Linked DNA regions of Tribolium castaneum. The protein of the gene in region 2 interacts with the protein of the main gene of each other region in a biochemical or structural test. Links are inferred from orthologs where the notes say so. Each region holds a gene or a part of one and is shown on either strand. Other genes may lie near its edges.

What was found.
Region 1: of the proteins of serine/threonine-protein kinase Chk2 (region 2) and serine/threonine-protein kinase ATR, one has a biochemical effect on the other in vitro, tested with the Homo sapiens proteins (2 studies listed by BioGRID). The link is inferred for Tribolium castaneum from reciprocal best matches to the Homo sapiens genes CHEK2 and ATR.
Region 3: of the proteins of serine/threonine-protein kinase Chk2 (region 2) and M-phase inducer phosphatase, one has a biochemical effect on the other in vitro, tested with the Homo sapiens proteins (5 studies listed by BioGRID, with this or other methods). The link is inferred for Tribolium castaneum from reciprocal best matches to the Homo sapiens genes CHEK2 and CDC25A.
Region 4: of the proteins of serine/threonine-protein kinase Chk2 (region 2) and Pp2C1, one has a biochemical effect on the other in vitro, tested with the Homo sapiens proteins (2 studies listed by BioGRID, with this or other methods). The link is inferred for Tribolium castaneum from reciprocal best matches to the Homo sapiens genes CHEK2 and PPM1D.

Annotation. Positions count from the first base shown.
Region 1 is NC_087399.1:7,318,778-7,323,229, forward strand, and holds the start of serine/threonine-protein kinase ATR, read right to left. Parts: upstream 3,209-4,452; 5' UTR 2,934-3,208; coding exon 1-2,933. Other genes in the region: vito (nucleolar protein 12), read right to left, coding at 3,346-3,883, 3,949-4,043. UniProt on the Homo sapiens protein: Serine/threonine protein kinase which activates checkpoint signaling upon genotoxic stresses such as ionizing radiation (IR), ultraviolet light (UV), or DNA replication stalling, thereby acting as a DNA damage sensor.
Region 2 is NC_087399.1:4,988,643-4,993,112, reverse strand, and holds serine/threonine-protein kinase Chk2, read right to left. Parts: upstream 2,941-4,470; 5' UTR 2,806-2,940; coding exon 2,682-2,805; intron 2,636-2,681; coding exon 2,384-2,635; intron 2,339-2,383; coding exon 2,208-2,338; intron 2,164-2,207; coding exon 2,041-2,163; intron 1,990-2,040; coding exon 1,786-1,989; intron 1,739-1,785; coding exon 1,509-1,738; intron 1,436-1,508; coding exon of another isoform or gene 1,396-1,435; exon of another isoform or gene 1,395-1,395; intron 1,293-1,394; coding exon 1,115-1,292; intron 1,049-1,114; coding exon 938-1,048; 3' UTR 844-937; downstream 1-843. Other genes in the region: spin (protein spinster), read left to right, coding at 1-115, 161-237; serpin B3, read left to right, coding at 3,065-3,157, 3,201-3,980, 4,027-4,177, 4,221-4,345. UniProt on the Homo sapiens protein: Serine/threonine-protein kinase which is required for checkpoint-mediated cell cycle arrest, activation of DNA repair and apoptosis in response to the presence of DNA double-strand breaks.
Region 3 is NC_087403.1:1,088,780-1,093,286, reverse strand, and holds M-phase inducer phosphatase, read right to left. Parts: upstream 3,066-4,507; 5' UTR 2,915-3,065; coding exon 2,862-2,914; intron 2,559-2,861; coding exon 1,539-2,558; intron 1,483-1,538; coding exon 1,215-1,482; 3' UTR 578-1,214; downstream 1-577. Other genes in the region: protein D3, read right to left, coding at 1-89, 177-277. UniProt on the Homo sapiens protein: Tyrosine protein phosphatase which functions as a dosage-dependent inducer of mitotic progression. Directly dephosphorylates CDK1 and stimulates its kinase activity. Also dephosphorylates CDK2 in complex with cyclin-E, in vitro.
Region 4 is NC_087401.1:15,494,347-15,497,099, forward strand, and holds the end of Pp2C1 (protein phosphatase 1D), read left to right. Parts: intron 1-542; coding exon 543-1,526; intron 1,527-1,574; coding exon 1,575-1,663; 3' UTR 1,664-1,977; downstream 1,978-2,753. UniProt on the Homo sapiens protein: Involved in the negative regulation of p53 expression. Required for the relief of p53-dependent checkpoint mediated cell cycle arrest.

The DNA.
Region 1 (4,452 bases), about 2.3 Mb from region 2:
AAACGCAGCGCCAACACGACCTTATCGCGTTTTTCGTGGAAGTTGAGCAACAGTTGCTTAAGGATCTCCCAAAGGTTGCGCTTTCGTAACGTTGCCGACGGCAACCCTGTTGTTTTCTCCAAATAAAGGGTCGATTGTTTGAAATCGTCCTTCGTTCCGTTGAGGAAAACGTGGAGGAAGATGTTTCCGTAGATGCTGGCCAACAGTTCGGTTAAACCGACGTCGATGAGCAGCGCCATCTGCTCGATCAAGTTCCCCACAAGTGGGCTTTTAATGGCCTTGTGGACGAAAAACGGCAACAGGTGTTGGCACTCCAGAGTGACAAAATCCTTAGAACCGTAAGACTCTAGCGTTGTTGAGATTTTACACAGCGAGGTGGCGAGTGGGTAATTTACTAAAGTCTGGTTCACAATGCACAAGTGTGCGATCAGTTCGCACATCTCGCGCTTGTTTTGCTTGTAAAGTTGGCTGGGGGTGGTGTCGTGGAGCTCAGCCAACTTGAAGAATTTATTTACGGCGATTAGCGAATGTTTGGACGTCGGCACCATGATGAAATAAATCAAAATTCGAATTGTTGGTAAAACAGTTCTCTCGCATCTAACGTTGCAAATTTCCTCAACTGTACACAAGAGTGTCTCTTGCAAGGTAAAATCGCTAGTTTGGAGACTCCTCTTGCAAAGCCTCAATAAACAATTGAAGAGTATTTCAATTGTTTCACTTTTAGTAGTGTCGCTCAAAACTTGATTCTCTTGCGCACACTTGATAATTTTTGGGACCACTTTCGCGAACGTTTTTCGCACGTTTTCGTCAGAATCGCCGATTTTTTCGACCCAAATTTTGGCAACGTTGCCCGAATGGAATTTGAGGATGTGGTTGGAGCAAAACGGCAACACCTCCAAGGCTCTCGATTTGAGGCCCGCATTGTCAAGAGTGAGGAATTTGAGGACGTTTTTCAAAATGGCGCCTTGGAGAGTTGTCAAATCGACGTCAATTTTGGCAAAAGTGACACTCAATCCGTCACTTGTCAAGTCATGACATTTTTTACAAAAAATGTCAATTTTGACTTGACACTCTTCGATTCGTGTCAGTTTGACAAAATCACTCGACGAGACGCAAATAATGTCAGGCAGGGCTTCGGTCACTTCTTCCAAAACCCGTTCGTTTGATGACGAAAGGGCCGGTGTGAGGATTTCCGAAATGACCCGGTCTGGGTTTTGAAAGATTGTCAAAATGTGGGCTAAATGCCTGACAACCCCCACGTTATTCATTTGTTTGGTGATTTTCATAAAGTTTGATTCAATTTCGTAAATTTGGGCGATTTCGAAAAAACCGCTCGAAATTCGCGCCAAAAATTCATTCAAGTATTCAAACGCGACGTCCTTTGGGGCGTAACGAGTGACGTATTTGCAAAATTCGGTCATTTCCTTTTTGTATCGTGGGAAATCGCTCGTGCCTTGAAAGTGTCCAAAGCTGAGTTGATTTTGCACAAAAATACAAGAAAACATATCGAAGAAAAAAGTAACGTTTGGGGGACTGGTAACGAAGACTAGACTCAAAAAACAGTCGAAAATTGAGGGCATTGGCACGTTGTTGTCACACGTGGCGAAATGGCGATTGAGGAGTGCCAGGATTTTGATGAGGAAAATTTTCTCCTCAAAAAATTCCAAATTCGAGTTTTTCATTTCGATTGCGACTTCGGTAAGGATTGTTGCAAGGTGGGTCAGAAATTTCAAAAATTGGGGTATTTTACAGTCTTTAGTGCAATCGGTGGCTTCAATTTGTTGCATAAATTGGCCACGAAAAATTTTCCATTTGTCCGAATGTACACACTTGATTTTACAAGCCTCCTGTCTTATATTTCTAACTTGGGTCAACAAAAATGACTTAAAACCACAAAGTACCGACGTATTGAAATCAGCTAAGGCCGTTTTGACGAAACTTTCATAATTGTATTCTCCAAACAAGGGGGTACACCTCTTGCGTTTACAAAAATTCAAAAGTGGCTCCGATGGCGCAATTTCGCCGGTTTTGGTGAGCAAAAACTCGCTCAATTTTTCGAAAATTTGGGTATCCAAATTCTGGCCGAAAAACTCAAACGTGATGAGTTCAAACGATTGGAATTCTTTTGTACTTGTGGCTATTTTACAATTGTAAATTTCATAAACTAACTGTTCGAAATATCGCCCGAACAGCTCCATTTTAAACCGGATTAAGTCACCGAAATCGTTCTTCTTGTCGAATTTTTTGGCCAAATCGAGATAAATCTTTAGAATTTCGATTTTTACGGCGACTGAAGAATAGGAAAGAAAAAACAACAAATCGTCCAAATTCCGGTACGTGGCGCTTGTGTAACAGTCAGACTCTACGCTTTGGCCCAAAATAAATTTAACAATCCTCAACAAATTGAGGAAAAAATCGGGGAAGTTTCTCTGATTGATTTCGATAGCGATCGGCTCGAGGTTCAATTTCTGGCACAAATCTGCGTATTTCTCGGGGACAAAAACGTTGAGAGTTAAGGTGCTGTGCCCGGATTTGACAAAATGGCACAAACTGTTCAGGGTTTCGCAATAGTCCCGTGCCAACTCATCGTAAACGCTCAATTGTGTGTTTGATAGCTGTTCCAAGACACACAACTGGATCTCAACGTAAACATTGTGACTTTTGCACAACTTTTCGCAACTCAGAAGGTAGAAAAAGCGGCCGAGAAACCACGTCGTGAAGGACTTGTACTTCCCGGCGATCCTTCGGTAGTCGTCAAGACTGCTCAGGGGGTCCCTGCTGTAGACGAAAATGGTTGTGAAATCCCCCGATTTGATTATTTTAGCCAAATGTTCGGCGCTCTTTTCGGACGGTTTCATGCTCATTAGGGCCGGAATTGTCGCGCTTAAGGTCTCCCAAATGGAAAAAGCCGGGATTTCGTCGTGTAGTGACATGACTTAACCTAACAAAAAATGTAACGGTACTTACGTCACGGGGGCCGAAAGTACTTACATAAAGGAGATAAAAAATCACAAACTAGAAATAATTACACGAAACATTGTCTAATTCACGAAAACAGACTACATTTTTTGACTTTTGGCGCAATCCCGCGCAATGGAACTGAATCGTGTGAAGTTGGCAACAGGTGCTGATTTAAATCGGGTGATAATTCGGAAACCAATGTATGAAATAAAGTGATTGTTGTAAATTTAAATAAAGTAAGGGAATATTTATTGGGTTATTTTTTTTAATAATTATTAGGGCACGTGTAAGAGGTGTGTTAGTATCCACTGGTGTGAAATTAGCCACAATGACATAACCTCAAGTAATAAAAATCCTTTATTTCTTTAATACAAAAATAACAATTCAGTGCCGTTTCCTCTTCTTCTCTTTCAATTTCATCTTCTGCTTGTTCTCCCGCCTCGCCTTCTTCCTCTGCTTCTGCCCCTCGATTTTCGTCTTCATCTGGAAAACCTTGCTCTTCTGCACTTTCTTGGTGGCCTCCTTTTTGAGTAATCGCTTCACGTCGCGTTCTGAATCAAACTTCCGATTCACTTTACTGTCCTTCTTCTTCAATTCCATCCCAGGCACTTCACTGACTTCACTTTCTTCCTGTTCAACATCTTCACAAATCGGCTGATTGGCCCCAATCCAGTTACTCTCTTTGGCGATCACGTCGGTCGATAACTCCTCAATTCTGACAGTGGCATCATCGTCCTCATACTCCTCTTTGAGAAGGGTCTCCAATTCAGGGATTGGCCGATGGGAGACAACCAATTTTTTGTAAGACTCCTTCGCCTCTGACTTGAGACGCTTCCGCTCCTCCTTCAAGTCGCGCTCGAGCTTCTCGCGGGCTTCTTTCTTGCGCTGGAGCTTGCGTTTGTGGAAACCGGTGAGAAAATCCCTGTGAGGTTATGTAGTGACATGTGCTCAATTCATTACACGTAAAAACGGCGAAATTCAACGAACCTACGCTTCTTTTCGTCGAACACCAGGTGTATTTTGTTTGTGCGATTTTTGGGATTTTTTTGGCGATTTTTTTTAACTGATGAACCCGCAGCCATTTTGACAATTTGTGTTTTCTTTTTTCCAGTACTCGAAGTAAATAAGTCAAGGCGAAAGCCGTGCTCATACTGCGGTTCAACCGCGATTTAAAAATCACTCTTTCATTTGGCTGAAAAATGGTAAATTTGTTCACAAATGCGAGAATGTAGGCAGTTAGTGGTTGCTAAAATTTTGGTTTTTGAGGGAGTTTTGAGTCATGTTATGAAATTGGGAGTTTCGTTGATTAATCATCCCTTTCACGCCTTTGGTGAATTTTTCGACCAATCACAGCCATATCGTGGCATAAAGTCGGCGCTCATCTCATCATGGCTGTCAGTATAAATTTGATCGTAGAATCATGAACTTCCCTTCATTTAAATCGTCATATAACCCGAATTTTTCGCCAATCTTTGCACCAAAGCGCCGAAA
Region 2 (4,470 bases):
CTTCAGTACGCTTTATTCACGACGTGTTTCGTCGAAATCCTGGGAGCATTCTTCTTCCTCGTCAATGCCTTGTACATTTTGCAAGATAAGCACAAAGTCGACAAAGCAATTCAGGGTGAGTGGTTTTCGTAGTTGCACAAATAAAGGGTGTTTTTACTAGCGACTAGTCAGAAAAGTAGCGTTCTGTATGACGTAGCGACGAGTTTAACCGACTATCCTATATCTCGTAGAATGTAACTGTTTTATTTCATTAAATGTTCCATTTCTGATTGGTCTGGTTTGAGCGTTTTTTAATGACTTGCTTTGTGCAGAGGTTTCGGATTATGGCACTACGGGCCAAGGAGATGTGGTTTCTAGTCAGTCGACTGAATGATGTATGTGATTTTTTATTGTGCGAGGTGGCGGGTCTTTGCTTATTTTCTTCTTGTGTCTGAAGTTAGTCTCATGGTGCTTTTCGTTTCAGCAAACTCCCAACAACTCCTAACGGATGGTTCAGAAACGGAAAATCCTTCCTGATTATTGGTGTATTAAGCGAGTGAATTAGACTTTCGTAGCGCGTGTGATTTGAACGTGTAAGGTTTTTCGTGTAAATATGAGTTTGTGAGAGTACTAATTGTGTTTTGTACAAGACTGATTTTCATTTGCGTTTTGTCAAACGTAAAGATCAAATACGCACACGATTTCGTATTATATTATGATCTTGTGATCATTCAGTACGTTTTTTAGAATGGTATTAGTTATTGTTTTATTTATTACAAATTTGTTATCACATATAGCGAAATAAAAATTAATAAGCCACACTCGAGTGATTCTAATCCAATCCTAATCCCAATGAAACACACGTTTAGGTAAATAATAGTATATTGAATGAAAAAGTAAAAACGTAAAAAATACAAAACATATAACAAAAAAAACAAGTGGTAATACTATGTAAAGATTAAACGAAAGAGATTCTTCGTCTCTTTGGTATTACGAGATTGTCACCCGAATCGTTATTTTCTTCGAAAGTTTGCACCAATTCTTCCACATTTCTTCTGGTTTCGTGATCCTGAAATATCAAATATAACAAATCCACGTTTTTATCTCGTAACGTAAAAAATATATTAAACATTACCTTTGCCACCCAGTCGTGTTTAAAAATATCTACAATGGAATAACGACAAGTTGAGTCCACCGTGATCATAGATTTCACGAGATTTTTCGCCGGCAATGACACATTTCTCCAAGCTTTAGGGTCCCAAGTTATTTTGCCACTCACTATATTTTTAGCGACTTCTTCCCTACTTGAACCACTGAAAAGAAATTAAAAGAAAATCGGATATTTTCATTTTTATCGCTAGGATAAAATAGGTGAATACAAAAAACAAACTAGCAGCCACACTTCTACTACTCACATTATCCTACTTGAAAGGCGCTGAACATAGCGAAGCGAGGCCTGTATGTTTAAAATTAAAGACTTAATTCCAAAAATTTTCAAATTTGACACACTTTTTTGGGCCACTACTTACACAAAGGGCTGCGTCCGGCTCAGCATATAAAACAGAATCACTCCGAGGCTCCAAACGTCCACTTTCCGGCTATAGGGCTCAAAGAACCTTAATACTTCTGGTGCCGCGTACTGGACGGTCCCACAGACCGTCTCCATCACGCTGATATCGTCCATGATCTTGCTCAAACCAAAATCGGAGATTTTCACTCTCGGGTATTGGTTTTGCGTACTCAGAAGTACGTTTTCAGGCTAAAGACATAATTAAAAATGTGTTTAACAAAATGTGGTTGTTTTACTTTCAAGTCCCTGTGTGTCACCCCGTTTAAGTGTAAATACCTCACACCTAGTAAGATTTGGTAAAAAATAAACTTCACCTCGCATTCGGGGAACGCCAAAGTCGAACGAATCCGACTTGTGAGTTCGCCCCCACTCATGTATTCTAAAACTAGGAACACCTCGTCATCAGTCTCAAAAACCTCCCTCATTTGGATAATAAAAGCCTGAAATTTTGGACATTATTTCACACAATTGTGGGTACTAGTGATAATTACATGAGAGAACGAACTCAGTATCTCAACTTCCGTTTTAATGCCACTTATGTTGTTTCCCCGGCGTGTTGAGACACTAGACCTTGATTTATCAATTCGTTTGATTGCGAATTGCTCCCGAGTTTGCTACAATTACGGTTCATTTGAGGTAAAAACAAAGCGAACTAAACCTTATCAAGGGCTAGACGGACTTGGCCGAAGGAACCACGTCCTAAGAGCTTCGTGGTGGTGTATTTTAGCCGCAACTCCTGAGGTAGGAACTCATAATCGTCGCGATTGATGTCACTGATAAAACTGTAGACTGAATAAAACGTTAAGACATGTGTGGCACTTATGCAGCTAATACCTCTGGTACTGGGGCTCCCTATTGCTATAATATCCTCGTTGTAAATGACACATTCGTTATTTCTGCCTATTTTCGTTCTATTAACGAAAGTGCCATTCTTACTGAGGTCTGTGAGAAACACGAGACCCTCCTCGTCCTTCGTTAGCCGAAAATGTTGCTTGCTAACGTTCAAAATCGTGGGAAACTGACTTTCGTCAACGAAAATATTGCAACTGGGGGCTCGTCCAAAAGTGTACACCGGCTCGAACAAGTCTGGAATTTCACAAGTTTGGCAGTGCTAGCCCCCTTGTAAACTTACCAATCGACACCATTGTCGAGATACAGGCGCACAACCGCCCCCATGGTCGTTTCACCTCCCCCAGCTCCTGAGAGGGCTCGTCGGTTTGGGTCTGAGTCAGGGGCAGGTCTGTGGCTTCCAACATACTTAAGTAAAGGTGTACAATAACAAAAAATGAGGTGATAACAATATGGCACTAAATTTAAACGAAAAAACTTGCCTACATCTCGCAACAATCGGTAGACATGTTTTTGACAAACAAAAGGCGCGAAATGGGGGCTTGTGATTGGTCAAGAGACACGTGCGCCAAGCGCGCGGATTTCGAATCACTGATAAAAGGAACAAATTTTTGTTTTTGTGACCCGGCCGTGACCACGGATAAGTAAATTAGTTGCAAAGTTACAATGAAGCTCGCTGCGGTTCTCTCACTCGTGATTTTGACCCAAGGAGAAGAGTTTTCGCAAGCTAATTATTTGTTCACTTCTGATGTTTACAAAGTGAGTGCGTTTGAAACAAACATAAAACTTACATTTTTCACAGGAGTGTGTTAAAAATGAGGGCGGTAATTTACTAGTGAGTCCCCTTTCCGTGGAAATAGTCCTAGCATTGGCCCAGTGTGGTGCCAGAGATGAGACAGCACGAGAAATCCAAACCGCTTTACATTTGGCCAGTTCTGACCAAAAAACTGCTTTCAAAAGTGTTATTTCGGGCCTTAAGGGGGGCGAACACTACTCGCTTCACACAGCCAACAAGATTTATCTTCACGATAATTTCTCGATTAGGGACGATTTTAAGACAATTGCTACAGAAATGTTCCAATCAGAGGTTGAAAATATAGATTTTTCGAAAACTGAGGCAGCTGGGATTATAAATAAGTGGGTCGAGGACCAAACGAACCAAAAAATAAAAAACTTGGTGCGTCCCGAAAGTCTCCAAAACAGCCCTTCTGTCCTGGTCAATGCGCTTTATTTCAAGGCGCGTTGGGCCTCTAAAAACTTCCTTAAATACCCCTACTTAACTAAGATTTTTTCCAAAACGGCCACTGACCAGATTGAAAGTGAATTCATGATAGATATAGGCGGTTCTTATCAACTGCACGAAGATAAAGAACTGGGCGCTCGGTTCCTGAAAGCTCCGTTTAAAGGACAAGACGCCCATATGGTTTTCGTGCTACCAGACGCTGTGGACGGGCTTGGAAGACTTGAGGAACAAGCGGATAAAATTTTCAGGGAACATTCGTTCCAGCCGGTTATTATAAACGTGGAGTTACCACGGTTCAAAATTGAGAGTACCGTTAATTTCAAGTCGATATTGCAAAAGGTGTGCGAATCATGAACGCAATATCTTAATATTATTCCAATTGTAGTTAGGTGTTCGGAAAGCTTTTATGAACGGCGAGGCCGATTTTAGCGGAATTGCTGGAAAAAAGGGGGAGCTTGTCGTGGGGCAGGTTACACAAAAGAGTTACATTGATGTTAACAAGGATGGGGTGGAAGCAGCAGCTGCCACGAATTTAGGTACGGTTTTGTCAGGGAAATATTTGTTTTAGCGTTTTTTTAGTGTTTACGCTGTCTGGGCCGCCACGAACTACGAAAGAATTTAAAGCAAATCATCCATTTTTGTTTTACATTCAAGCCAAAGGCGTGGTGCTGTTTGCAGGAAGAGTTGTTGATCCGAAATATTAAACACTGTAGTTTGGTTTCAATAAAAGATTGAACAGGAAATATAACTCTTTTTTTATACCTACGTTTAAATGTTATGAGGTGTTTACATTTCACAAAAAACAAATAACATCGTTTTATGGTCAAGG
Region 3 (4,507 bases), on a different chromosome or scaffold from region 2:
CCGGGACTACGCCGTGTTTTTCCATATTTTTTGCTACAGAAGAGAAAAAACGACTAGAATATACCGGTCGTCTAAGAGCAAACATTTTGCTGAAAAAATTTACTTAAGTGGGGTGGGGGTGGAATTTGATTTTCTGGGGCCTCTACACACGACAAGGGTTAATCACAAAAACTCACCTAAGATCTTTCCAGAACACAATCACAAGTTGCAAAAATGACAGAAAAATGCCGGCTGTTGTCGTCATAGGCTGACACCTATTGTTGGAAAATGGAAGCATGCATTACATAATCTATTACGCAATATATTTAGCTACAGCTTGATAGATGTCGCTTCATAAATTTGTTTCTTTAATTCTTTTAATTGGTGGTGATTTCACTAACTGCCACTTAACTGTTTTAAATCTGACGGCCAGTTATGATGTACTTGTGAAAATATTACGGCACTTCAACGGTTAAATTTTTCTAGGAAGGCAAGTCGGATTTTTCCCGCTGATTGGTAGATGGCGCGTTGTAGCTTTCTAGCGGTAAATAACCGATGCAAAATAACGAATTTGTTGTGCAAGGGTAAAGAAAGTTCGTTTTGATGTGGAACAAAAATGTATTATCATAAGTTATAAAAATATTAAAATATTGTACAGATCTATAATATTAAGTATCACTTTAAAAATCTATGATGCAACGGATGGGTAAGCATCAGTCCGTCCAAATAGTGAACAAATCACATTCAAGTAGTATAAAATCCCCAGCCGTTGCATTCGAACACATTTGAATATGCTGAAGGATACAAAAACAATACTGACACTTAGACTATACTAAACTAATAAAATGAACATAAAAAATCTGCAAACAAACACCAGCGCAACAGCAAGGAAGCATAATGTACTGGTAAAGAAATGCAACATCACATCGTTATTGCTGTTCAAATTGCACATAAAAAATAAATTAAAGGGGGACCAGGATGATCCGTCGACTGTCTAAATAACAAAAAGAAAACTTTGGTGGTTTAGCATTGCAAAAGGAAAGATCTCATCTCAACTACTCTGGAGCAAGCTATTTAGGTACTCTCTTATATACAGTTGTAATATACACTAAGAAGACTAAGTCTTCAGGATACATGCTAATATAGCACATTACTTTGTACATATCATTTGGCAAACAAGTCCGCGCACTTGTATTTTGTACTATCTCACAAATTTTGGCACTGGGATTCGATATTTACAGTCCTAGTCTTTTCAAATTGTGACGGCACCCGGACCGTTGACGCGTATCAGCATTCCAGGTTTTGGATTTGAGCCGGAAATGTCGCAACTCATTCTCATATTCCGGGTGCAGCATCTCCGTGTAGGCTATAGGAACGCAGAGGTCGGAATATTCCTCGAAGAACTTCTTATAGCCACCCTCAAGTAGGTAGACTTCGGGGTAGTGCAACGAAGGGTAGACGTCCTGGTTGAGCTGGCGGTCCTGCTCACGCAAATACCGATATCTGGAAGCAAAAACATCATTAGCACGGCGATACAACCCTCCAGAAGCAAAACTTACAAATCTGGACCCCGCTTGCTCGAAAACTCGCAATGGAAAACCAGGATATTGCTCCTTTTGCGCGGCTCCTTGCTCGCAGAGGCGACGTTAGTTAATAGTTCCATGCACTGCTCCTTGGTGTAGACGTTAATGGCGCCGTCAATATGGCCACCCTTGTACTCGTAAGGGTACCGGCAATCGATAACTTTGTAAGAGGCGACGTTTCCGCTAAAGTCACCACGGATTAGTTTGGCCAAAGTGTCAGCAGTGATGCACTTCAAGTCCTGATGACGGCCTTGCGTTAAGGGCAAACAAAACGTCTTGCTGAAGTCACCGATGAGGTCTGGCTCCACGAATGACCTCTGGACCGCAAACTTTATACTCTCCTCCGTCGCAGACACGCATCTCTGAAGCACAGGCCTTGCGACTGGAACAGCGGCTTCCTCATCCTCAATTTTCTGTTTTTTCGAATTTGGGCTTTCGAATCCTTGCGGCGGTTCTGGTCTCTTAAACGGGCGAGATTCTGTTGTTTTGAAGAGGCAAGACCTGACCCTGCTTGGCGGCGTCCTTTCAGTTTGCAAGGACAAAGCCCTTCGAAATAAGGGCCGAATTACTAGATCCCTCGGCGAAGTCGGTGTCTCTTTCCGGTTCTGGAAATTGATCGGTCCAGTGATCAATTTCCCGAAATCCTGCGGCAAGTTGTCCTCCAAGGGCTCAATATCGGAAAAATCCTCGAAAAACTCGTCCTCCATGGACCCGATCGAGGCCAGTTCGAACGACCCCCGAGTCGGGGAAGCATAAGTCGAGAATTTACCCTCATTGTAATTAGCAACGTAACCGGAATCGCGCGAATTGGGGTCGTGGTCCTCAAGGGGGCGCCGAGTTATTATATTGTGGTTGCAGTGATTCGGTGAAGTCCCGGAGCAGATTATTGCCGGAGGACTCGAATTTCCGTAAAACGATAACTCTTCTATTTTGACCGGACTTAACGCTTGCTGAATATTTTCTTTATCCAAACAAGAATCGTCCCCTCGTTTCGATCTGAAACAAAAACGGCCTTGAATTAATCAAACAAAACGAGCAGTTCCGGACCTGTCCCCCCGAAAATGCAAAAACGGCGTTTCCCGCCCGAAACCAGCAAACTGAATTTTGAGTGTCCTTGTCACCTTTATCACCCAAAAAACGCAGGGTCAAAAAAACGCCCAACCGCAGGCCCAAAAAATTACTATCGGGGAAAAACGCGTCAACTGTGCATACGTAATCCACAAAATTATGATAAACTGATAAGTGGTTCGGGGGTTGTTCGCGAAATCGCGAAGGGGCTGAAAACCGCACGGCAATTACCTTGGGGGGCACTGGCAGACATCACAAGAATCCGTGCTTATCGAATCCCACATTGTCGGAAGAAAGCGGTGAAATATCCTTAAAACGTCTTAAAATCTAACACAAGCAACAAGCACTCAAACCAGGACGATACGTCCTCGCACACCACACAAACGCGACTTGGAAGTGAAGGTAGCCTACCTCAGTCTTTATCCTATTACAGCTCGTCCCCACATCGTCGGTGGGGAGTAGGGATAGGGCAAGGGCGCCAAAAGAAAGCAAGGGAGGGGCGCCTGGGAATGAAAATTTTTACCATACACCCTTTCCGCATTTTTGGAAAAAATCCAGTTTCTTTACAAAACTTGCGCCTAATTTGGAACGGGTCTTGGGAAAAAACAGCGTGCGAACCCGCGTGATATATTTGGAATTAATCACGTAATATTTAAATATTAATAGACCGGACAGCGAGAATTCCGAATTAGCCAAATTTATTTTATCCGATTTGTTATTTATTCAGAATTAAATTTATTTCTGTTTGTACATCTCCAATTTTTTGATTTATTCCCCTCTTTCGCATCGAAAAAACGCAAATGTTTATTCATGTGAGGAAGTTCAAAATTCCTAGATAAATGTTCTGCGATTTATTCACTTGATGTTTCGGTACAAATGTGTTATCAGCATTTCAGTTTAATTTTATTTTTTGGTGAAAATAATAGTGGATCAATAAGATAAATAAATTGTGTTAAACTAATAAATTGTCGGTGAAAATAATAAATAAATAAATGGCCAGTACGCAACAGATGCTGATAAATTCAAAAAATGCATTATTTGCATTATTTTGAAATAAGCTAGGCATTTGGCATATTTATAATTAGTGAGTTTTGTTACTGTTTTATTTCACTTTGCTTTATATGGAATAAATAAATGGATTTTTACTGCTCTAAAATTCGATTTTTCTTTTCAAATTTCCGAATCAGAATACTGTTCACTTATGGATTCATGTTTCAGACTTTATTGAAGTCTGGTTAAACATTTGGTTGCCGAGGCTCAGAATCTGATCTGAAAATTGTTATCCTTGAGTGAGCATAGCGAGCTAAATAGTTATGAAGTTGAGTATCTTTCTTCCTTGGCAGCTGTTGAGCGGTCAGTTCTTTTTGCATTTCAGTTTGATATTTATGTATCACATTGAACTATAGCACATGTTGATAAATTTATTTATTTAAAATTGATACAGTTTTGTTTATCCTAATCGAAGGAAATGGGAGCAAATGAAGTCAGCACATGAATAAAATTTTTGGTTGTGGTGTATGACGCCGAGAAATATTTATATTTGAGGCATGTGTGTGATAAGTATAGAATGTGTTGAATTGGCATTTAAGACCGTTCTGAAACCTGAATATAGCGTTATCAGAGTGAGAGTTATACTGTATGCCTCCGATAGGAAGAGATCAGAGGATCATTCGCGTGAGAATAATACGTTCCCTGTAAGTGACATGGGAACTGGCCGAACAATTGGATCATTGTGCGAAATGCGCAGACTGGATACAGGAAAATTTACCTTTATCCCGGCAAATTGCCGACGTTCCCACCTCTACCTGTTTAGGTCATCCCTTCATCTCAAAGTGGCCAGGGAATGGACCAATTTGCATAATTTACACAAAATCTAT
Region 4 (2,753 bases), on a different chromosome or scaffold from region 2:
TTCATGACAAACCTTCTATTTTTGAACTAATTCATTAATTTTTCTGGTTTATTTTTTAGAAAATTCCGAGAGAAAATTGCAAAATCTAAAACGCTAAAATAAGGCAAATTTTTTAATACGATTTGGCGATTTTTCGGCCTGATCTTGCAAAATGAAAAAAATAAAATTTGTAAAATCCAAAAAAAAAATGTTAACAAAGTAACGAAAACAAAAATAAAAAAAGAATAAAAAGGAAAAAATAAACAATGATTGACGTAAAAGTGCTTTTATTATGAAGTTTTTGTGATGTTTCACATGTTTTAATGTACTCTCTACTTCAAAACCGCAAAAATAAAATCAGTTACGCTGTTTTTTTAATTTTGTTTTTTTTTACAAAACACTAACAATTAAATTTAACAAATTTTTGCCCCGAGTTGGTGCATTTTCGGCTCGTTTTACCCGAAATTTGCGAAATAAAAATGGCGTCCGGAGGGGAGGCTGGCTGTCGCTCGCAATGGCGTCTGGAGGGGAAACTCCTACAGTTCCACTTGCATTTCTTGCAGGCGTGCCGCGCGTGGTGTGGAACCGCCCCAAAATGGGGCACCAGGGCCCCGTGCGTCGCTCCACCCCCATCGACGAGATCCCCTTCCTGGCCGTGGCGCGAAGCCTTGGCGACTTATGGTCTTACAACTCCCAAATCAACCAATTCATCGTATCCCCCGACCCCGACTGTGCCGTCTTCACAATCGATACCTCGACCCACCGCTGTCTCGTCTTCGGCACCGACGGCCTCTTCAACATGCTCAGCCCCCAGAACGCCGTGCACATCGTCCAGCAGGCGGAACGCCATAACGAAAACGCCGCCCTCAGCGACTCGATCAACAAAACGTGGCTCAACCCCAGCAAGCTCCTGGTGGAGAAGGCGCTGGAGCGCTGGCACAACACCAAGATGCGGGCCGACAACACCTCGGTGGTCACGCTCATGCTGGACCCCCCAGGTCCCCCGAGGGCCCAAGTGCTGAAAAACCGCAAGAAAAACGCGTATCCAGACACCGGGCTGGAGATAATGACGCGGTATGAGGAGGGGGGCGTGGCGGCCACGCCCCCCGAGTCGACCAATGGCGAGGCGGAGGCCAGTCCCGTGACCTCGAGCGACAGCTTCCCATTGAAGGAGCGCAATTTTGCGTCGAAGCCGCGCGAAAGCACCAGCTTTGACCCGAAGGAGGCCGAGGATAAGGAAAATCTCAAGGATGAGTCGATTCAGATCAATGAGATTTCGTCGAGTTCGAGCGACTGTGACGAGAACTCGAACGAGGCGCCCATTCATAATCTGAGGAGTGGGGGGAAGGGGCGTGTCGTGAAGGAGGGGCTGACCAAAGTGCGCAAGAGCAGTAGGTTAGCGCACGAGCGGAAGAAGAGTAAGTTGACGCTAGCGCAGCGCATTCTTAGGAGTAAGAAGATTTCGATTAAGAAGAAAGTGCAAGTGGCGAAGAAGAGGCTGGTTAAAGCCAAGTCAAGTACAAAGAGGAGGTATCGCGCCGCGAAAGGTGGGCGGAGTTTGAGGCGGGGACTGGTGTTGATTGGTTGTTTTTCAGGTGTGAAGGCGAAGCCGCCCCAGAAATCGATGCCAAAAAGGAGTGACGTGCAAAAGGGACGCAATCGAAGATTGCCGCGGAAGAATTGAGCCATCGGTTATTTCGTTCTAGTTTTAATTTTTTAATCTAAGATGGGAAACATCTACGTGATTTTTTATACATAATATATTTTAGTTCCGTATATTTTTCTCAAGTGTTCACATGAGCTTTAGGTTTGTGTTATTGCGAATGTGTTGTTCTTTTAGGTTTTGTCATGGAAACACGTCTAAAACATTTTTGTGCCTTTGTTACCAAGTGTTGGAAAAATAAATGTGTTAATAAACTTAGGCGAAACAAAGAAATGTATATTTATAATAAATGAGGAAATGTATTATTTTCGCAATTGAATAAATTTATAGTTTTACTGGTTTGTTTATTTTTTGAATCCCGAAAATCGCGCAAAATACGATTGAAAATTGGAAATTTTCTTAAAATTTAAACGGACCCTTTTTTGTTGGATTTTTTGCGAGGGGGAAGCAAAAAATGGGAAAAAAATTTTGGCAAAGTATGCCTTGCGGAAAAATTTGCGATTTTTATTTTCTGAAAAATTTTTGTAAAAATATAAGTCCGCAAAAAATCTGGGCGGAGGCAAAAAATGGCATAAAAAGGGCAAAAAATGGCACAAAAAGGGCAAAAAATGGCGCAAAAAATAGCTTGCGGAAAATTTTTCTAAAAATTAGTGATTTTATTTTCTGTTAAAAATTTTCAAAAATTTTAAGTCAACAAAAAATGGTACAAAAAGGGCAAAAAATGGCGCAAAAAATAGCTCGCGGAAAATTTTTCTAAAAATTAGTGATTTTATTTTCTGTTAAAAATTTTCAAAAATTTTAAGTCAACAAAAAATGGCACAAAAAGGGCAAAAAATGGCACAAAAAATATTGGCGAGAACAAAAAATGGCTTGCGAAAAAATTTTTCTGAAAATTTTTTGTAAAAATATAAAGTCCGCAAAAATTTGGTCGGGAGCAAAAAATGGCATAAAAAAATTGCTCGCGGAAAAATTTTCTAAAAATTTGTGAATTTAAATATTTTTAAAAATTTTAAGTCAACAAAAAAAATATTGGCGGGAGCAAAAAATGGCACAAAAAATATCTTGCGGAAAAATTTGTGGTTTTATTTTCTGGCCCAAAAAATGGTCCTCC